2 linked regions of the Rattus norvegicus genome follow. The protein of the gene in region 1 interacts with the protein of each later gene in a pairwise test. Links are inferred from orthologs where the notes say so. Each region holds a gene or a part of one and is shown on either strand. Other genes may lie near its edges.

What was found. The genes of interacting proteins can lie anywhere in the genome.
Region 2: the proteins of Snca (region 1) and Sdf4 interact in a two-hybrid assay, tested with the Homo sapiens proteins (2 studies listed by BioGRID and IntAct). The link is inferred for Rattus norvegicus from reciprocal best matches to the Homo sapiens genes SNCA and SDF4.

What each region holds. Positions count from the first base shown.
Region 1 is NC_086022.1:91,123,726-91,127,474, reverse strand, and holds the start of Snca (alpha-synuclein), read left to right. Parts: upstream 1-1,159; 5' UTR 1,160-1,297; intron 1,298-2,414; 5' UTR 2,415-2,440; coding exon 2,441-2,561; intron 2,562-3,749. UniProt on the Homo sapiens protein: Neuronal protein that plays several roles in synaptic activity such as regulation of synaptic vesicle trafficking and subsequent neurotransmitter release.
Region 2 is NC_086023.1:171,871,813-171,875,461, reverse strand, and holds part of Sdf4 (45 kDa calcium-binding protein), read right to left. Parts: intron 3,148-3,649; coding exon 2,818-3,147; intron 1-2,817. UniProt on the Homo sapiens protein: May regulate calcium-dependent activities in the endoplasmic reticulum lumen or post-ER compartment. Isoform 5 may be involved in the exocytosis of zymogens by pancreatic acini.

The DNA.
Region 1 (3,749 bases):
AACTTTTTATTTGTTTATTTATTTACTTTTCAGGATTCAGAAATCAACTGACTGCAAAGGTCAGAGAAAACATTTTCCCTTCTACTTTTTTTTTAAATACAGTAAAAGCTTGGTTTAGCTTACAGTGCCCAGTACAAGTCCAGAATACAAGAAAAGCAAGGCTGGGGGAGGAGCTTGGCACTCAAATCTACTCAGCTATCAAACAGCGATATTCTGCTCATCTCAGAAAGAAATGAAAATGTGTTAAGTAGCACAGAAATTGTCTCGAAGCCTGTGCATCCATCTGCCTGTCTGCTGGGCTTGGAAGAAAGGTCTGTTAGCTGGAACTCCATGCAGCCAGAAGTCGGAAAGGTAAGAGGTGTGCAAAGTCTGCCATTAAGTAGGAAGAAACTGCCTGCGATGGTCCCAGAGGGTGAATCCCACAGGAGCTACCTTCCAATCCTGTAACAGGGTTCTCAATAGTAAGCCACTTTTTCAAGTGCAAAAAAGCCTTTAGGCAGCTGGTTTTCGACGGTTGGGGTTTATTTATTCCTTGCTCCACAGATGGGGGAAAAAAAAATCAGCGTCTGGCAGCCGCTGATTGGTGGAAACGAAAATGGTGATAGTGGAGTGGGAAAGAGGATTTGCTGAGCCTCCCCCTGCCTCCTCGACCTGTAACTCTTCCTTAGTCGGCTCCCCTTCACACCCAGAAGAACCTTTTTAGACTCCTTCGGGGTTAAAACAAATGGAATTCTCAGGCTGTGTGAACAAAAGCAACCCGAAGGGTGTGTGCTCCCTCCCCTCGCCTGGCTCCGCACACAGATCATTTCAGGCGGTTCAGTCCTCTGGTGTCCGCTTCCCGGCTCGTCCGGAGGAGGGGGGTCGCCTAGAGGAACCGAGAACAGGCTGAGGCAGGGAAGAAGGGGATGAGATAGGAAAGAGGCCAGCTCAAGTTCAGCCACGATAAAACCGAAGGCCCCCTGAACTCGAGGTGAAACTCAGGCTACCCTCTCTTCCCTCCTCCTGGGGAGCGTGCTCCCGGTACCCACAGCCCTCACGCACCGCCATCCCGTCCCCTCCCTAGGAAAACGAGCGAAGGCACGAGGCAGGCGAGGGGCGGGGAGAGGAGCTGACAAATCAGCTGCGGGGGCGACGTGAAGGAGCCAGGGAGCCAGAGCGCCCGGCAGCAGACGGCAGGAGACCAGCAGGTGCTCCCCCTGCCCTTGCCCCTCAGCCCAGAGCCTTTCACCCCTCTTGCATTGAAATTAGATTGGGGAAAACAGGAGGAATCAGAGTTCTGCGGAAGCCTAGAGAGCCGGTAAGTACCTGTAGATGCAGTAGCTCTGGGGATCTTGGAGAGCCCTAGCTAACAACCTGGACGCCTAGAGGAGACAGACTATGGCTACCTTGGCCGTGGGGACAGAGTCAGTGACTGGAAAGTACATCACTCGGTTTTCCTTCCGTTGGAGACGTGCCCTGCCATCCTCTCAAAGCCCGAGGGAAAGGCCAGGTTGCCTGTGGCATCTGCTTTTTTCAAGCGGAAACGCTAGGGTGTTTCATGTTGGATGCTGGATGCTGGAAGCTGAGTGCTGGGCATTGGGTGGAATTTGAGCATCCAACTTTTATACTCCAGCCCCAGGGCATTTCATCTTCCTTCTATAGCGGAAGAAGGGTGCATTTGGCCAGTGATTAATAGAAGTGCAGAGGACAGTAGGCAACAGGTGATAAGGGGTTAATGAGCACAGGGTGCAGGGTCTTCTAGAGGATTCCAGCTGAGGACAGAGCTTCATGGTTGGGTGGTGCTCAAGTGATAATGCTCAAGTGCATGGACAGCCAGCGCCTGCTCTGGGCAGATAGCCAGCAACTAGCTAGTGGTGGGTGGAAGGTCTTGCTAGGTTAGAAAGACTGGGCTGAAGGCAGTTGGTCTCCAGTTCCCTACTTCTGGATTAAACAGTTCCCCTCCCTTCCTTCTCCAAAGATTGACGACTCCTCTCTACGTCTTTTTTCCCTCTTGCCCCTATTCCACCTCTGCTCCCTCACCCTTCAGTTCTTTTTCCAGATAGTCTTTTTACTTCGAATGTCTCCTTTGGGCCATGGGAACTTGATGGGGTAGAGGAAGTCCGTCTCCTCTTCAGTAACTCCTGAAATGTGTGAGAACAGCCAAGTGATCCATCTGGATCCATCACATTCTTAAGTGGCATGACTTTTTACTAGTGTTGAGTGAACTGCTCACAATCAATCAACACTGTGCCCAGTCCTCAAAAAAAAAAAAAAAATCTCACACCAGGATGAGGCAGGAGGGGTGGGAGGCATATACTTTTTTTTTTTTTTTGTGATTTCTTTCGCCTCAATTTCATTTCTTTCTCTAGCTGTTTTAAACCTTGCTTTCTTTTACCCCAAAATTTCTAATTCAAAATGTATTCTGTATTCTCTAGTGTGGAGCAAAGATACATCTTTAGCCATGGATGTGTTCATGAAAGGACTTTCAAAGGCCAAGGAGGGAGTTGTGGCTGCTGCTGAGAAAACCAAGCAGGGTGTGGCAGAGGCAGCTGGGAAGACAAAAGAGGGCGTCCTCTATGTAGGTAGGTAGTGACACTGTGACTAATGAATCAGGGTGACTGCTGTGTGCTGTCTGATTCGTGCGCATCACAGCTTCTCAGCTGACAGAGTGACAGCTATGGGGAGGTGAGAGAACGCGAACCGAACCTGCATATTAACTCTCAGAAACAAACAGGGACAGTGCTTTCTTTCCTTAGAATAATTAATTTTGTCATTTATGTAGGGTTTTTATTTGTTTTTCTACAATCTTGTGCATGATTACACTGAATTTTTAAAATTGTCAACCCATGAAAAACAACCAAGAATGTGCTTATGAATCAAAGACATTTATGGCAGCAAGCTTGGTGGCACATATCTGTGATGCCAGGGTTTGGGAAGTGCAGGCCCAAAGATCAGGAGTTGGTGATCATCTGTCAGCTACCAGTGTGTTTGATGTCAGTCTGGGCTATGTGAGACTCCAGAACAACAACAACAACAACAACAACAACAACAACAACAACAAAACCCAAACAACAAAAACAAACAAACAACTTAAAAAAAACAAGCTGCAAGTACTCTGGGACTTTGATTTCTTTCATCATCACTATAGTTAATATTAAGTTTAGCGAATTACAATGTTTAAAACAAGACTTTTGCATGATTTTGCATGTAGTGAAAATACAAATACTTTGGCCCCCAAAAGAAAAGGAAAGCAAGTCTGCCTCAGCATGTCTCCCTTTAGGGATCACTTCGTTGGTGTGGATGCAGGAGCTCAAGGAACCCCAAAAAGATTTGTGCAGTTCACCTGTCCGAGATCATGCATACGGGGAACAGTAAGAGGTTGATAGTGCCATTTTGCCTGACAGTATACCTTGAAAGAGAGGCCAACACTTCCTTTATCTTTTCTCTGTGTTAGATTGGCTCTAACTTTACAAATCCCTTCCAATACTAGGATGGGAGGAACAGACACACATGCATACACCCTCATGTGCAGCAGAGGCCCCGTGCACATGGGAGCACAGTTGCAGGGTTCATTGACCTCTCTTTCCTTTTTTGAGCACCTGTTTCCACCTTCTTAGGAGTACATCTACCTTGGTAGAAGACCTAGGATAAACATTCAGACTGAAAAGGTGCAGGACAGGTGACAAAAGTGACAGAGATGCTACCCAGAGTACCAATTGAGGGAAGTCATCCTGACCCTCCAGAAGATCAGTGTGGAATTGACATTTGCA
Region 2 (3,649 bases), on another chromosome or scaffold:
CTACTTAAGGACAAAATAGATCATCACTGGGAAGAGACTTTCCCACTTGAGATACGATGGATGGAATTAAAACCCTTTGTTCATTTATTTATTTAGTTTAGTTTAATTTTTCAAAATAGGGTTTCTCTATGTAGCCCAGTCCTATAGAGCAAGCTGACCTTGAACTCAGAGACACACCTGCCTCTGCTTCCTGAGTGCTGAGATTAAAGGCACTACCATACCTGGCTCATAACCCTTCTAATCATAGCAGTTCACATACCTCAGCTAAACCACACAAGCACCTTCACAGGCAACAAATGTATAACAAAGTCCCTTTGGAAACCTAACATTTTGCCCAAGAACAGAACCCAGGTCTTAGTGACAGAGATCTTGGGATTTAGGGATAGATTACAGGAACTCCAAAACTAAACACACTTAGTAGAGTGAGTATCAGAAAGAATCTGCATCAAAACTAATAAAATGGCTCAGCGAGAAAAGGCCCTGCCACCAAGCCTGACGATCTGAGTTTTATGCCAGGAAATCACATGGTAGAAGAGAAGAGCCAGGTAAGCTGCCCTCTATTTCCATTCTCTCTCTCTCTCTCTCTCTCTCTCTCTCTCTCTCTCTCTCTCTCTCTCACACACACACACACACACACACACACACGCGCGCGCGCACACACACACACACACACACACACACAGAGAGAGAGAGAGAGAGAGAGAGAGAGAGAGAGAGAGAGAGAATAAATTTTTACTGCTGTGAACAGACACCATGACCAAGTCTTATAAAGAAAAACATTTAATTGGGGCTGGCTTACAGGCTCAGAGGTTCAGTCCATCATCATCCAGGCAGGCATGGTGCAGGAGGAGCTGAGAGACCTACATCTTCATCTGAAGGCTGCTAGTGGAAGACTGGCTTCCAGACAGTTAGGACAGGGTATTAAACCCACGCCCACAGTGACACGCCTACCCCCAAAAGGCCACACCTCCCACCAGTGCCAGCCCTGGGCCAAGCACATACAAAACGTCAGTCTGCCCACCTAAATCCTAACTCAGAAAGATGCAACTTCCTGCTTTTGTTTTCTTCTGTCTCTTTCTTTTGGATGCTCAGAACCTAGGAATGCTTTTTCGGAATCTCTGAACCTCCTTACTAGTTTTCCAAGGCCCCTTCTGTTTTGTGTAGTTTAAAAACCTACCACCTTCTGGGGAGCTGTAGAGCTAATACAGCCCCTCCCAGCTCATTTTTGCTCCACTGCGTCCTTATCAATTATCTCCGACTCTCCTTCTGCCCTAAACTTAACGGCTCATTCCATCTAGCCCCTGCCAAACATCCTTGGCCACTCGCATAGAGGCAGCCACAAGCCCTAGCTCTCGCTAAGGTCTTACATGATTATTACATCCTTCTTCCTCCAAAACATGACAAAAAGCCCCTCTCCTCCCTTACGTCTGCCTTTTTTCTTCCTGGGACTCAGAAGTCCCACCTATACCTTCTGCCCAACAATTGGTCACCAGTATTCTTTATTGACAAATCAAGGACCAATTGAGAAACAAGGTTAACATCAGAACCTCTCCTTACACCTTTCCTCCTTGTTCTGTGGCTGCCTGCTGCCATGTGGCAGACCTCAATGCCAGTGACTCAGATGGCCTTTTTCCTTCCTTGCATGTTCTGCTTCAGGGTCAGGCTTAGGGCAACTGCTGAGATTACAGCTTGTCCTCCCTGAGTTATTTTTCCAGAAACCTTTATCCTAGCACTGAGAAAGCAGAAAAGGAGCCAGCTGTAATGGTACACATTTTTAACCCCAGGATTTGGGAAATAGAGGCCTGCTGGTCTATATAGCAAATTCTAGGATAGCCAGGGCTATTTAATAGAGAGATCATGTCTCAAAAAAACCACAATGCAAGCAAGCAAGTGGACAAGCAAGCAGACAAGTAGAATTAGATAGACCAGTTGTGAGTTCAAGGCCAGCCAGGGCTACACAGTGAGATCTTATCTCAGAGGAAAAGAAAGGAAGGAGGGAGGGTAGGGACCCAAGCAAACCAGCCTGTGTCCTCCTCCCCCATCAGCTCTTAACTTATTGATTTGTTAGACCTTTTCCTAGGCAGCCCTGGGCCAGCCCTCCTCTACCTGAAATTATAACCTGCTAAGACCACTTTACTTTCGCTTGGCCTGACTTTATGCTTTTCAACTGATAGTCTAGTTCGAACAGTAGTGCACAACAAAGTCCTTGAGAGGTAGGGCAGGGGCAGAAGTTTATTCTGAGGCCTTCCTGGCCATGAGGGCTTGGGCATAGCTAAGCAGCCTAGCTTATCTTATCGAAGTACAAGGTACTAAAATGTGGTTTTCAACCTTCCTAACACTGCAACCCTTTAGTACAGTCCTCATGCTGTGGTGACCCCCAACCATACATTATCTACCTTCCTAACACTGCAACCCTTTAGTACAGTCCTCATGCTGTGGTGACCCCCAACCATACATTATCTACCTTCCTAACACTGCAACCCTTTAGTACAGTCCTCATGCTGTGGTGACCCCCAACCATACATTATCAACCTTCCTAACACTGCAACCCTTTAGTACAGTTCCTCATGCTGTGGTGACCCCCAACCATACATTATCATCTTTGTTGCTACTTCATAACTGTAATTTTGCTGCTATGAATCACAATGTAAATATCTGTGTTTTCCGATGGTCTTAGGCAACCCCTGTGAAAGAGTCACTCATCCCCAAAGGAGTCATGACTCTGCTGTGCTAGAAGAATACTAGGGCAACTAAATTATCATCTCGAATGCTGAGTCCCTTAGCATGCATTTGCAGGGGACATTATGAGACACTTACTTGGAAAAGATGACCATTAGCTTCCTCCTGCTTCTCCGTGGCTCTGAGTCCTCATCAAACCCATCCATGTCCTTTCCCAGGAAAACCTCCTGATGGAAGTCCTTATTGAGGTGTCCATCCATCTCCAGCTTCACCCCATTCAAGTGGTCTGGGGGTATGATCTCATTTTCATCCCTGTTGGCTGCTCTTTCCCGAGAAAATGAGTGGTTGGCAGGTCTAGCAGTTGCATCCATCAGAAGGACAAGGCCCAAGAACCAGAGGCCATGAGCAGCCAGACCACAGAGGGACCTCTGCCTGGACGTCATTGCCGCCAGCCAGACCACGGGACTCCTGCAAGGTGTGAACCAAGAGCTGGAGTCAGAGGTAGCAGCAAGGGAGAAAGGAAGGTTCTGGGTTACTAGCACTGCCAAGAAAGCTGAAGGCTGATGGCAGGCTCCACAACCTGGTAAGTCTACAAAGAAGACAGACCAGGCCAGGCTAGGTTTTGCTACTTTGTGAGTTCTTCTTTTTCCCATCCTTTATCCCCTCTGGTTTCACTAGACAGGAGAAAAAGGAGGAGAGAGGGGTGAGAAAAAGAGATCTCTGAATCTAATTTCTTTCTTCTTTGAGCACCACTACTAACAAACCATAACCAACCCCCTGAACAACCACCAATCACACCTCTCGGGGCCCTAGCATTTACATATCCTCTGAAAAGTTCCCAGAATTCCAAATGTCACACAATAGCAGAAACTATCTGCAGCTGGTAAAACCTTGCCTGTGCTAGAGCACGAGGCAAATCAGTCAGCTGCTGTGGAGAGCCCAAAGCAGCCCCACATCTTTATGCCTGGGA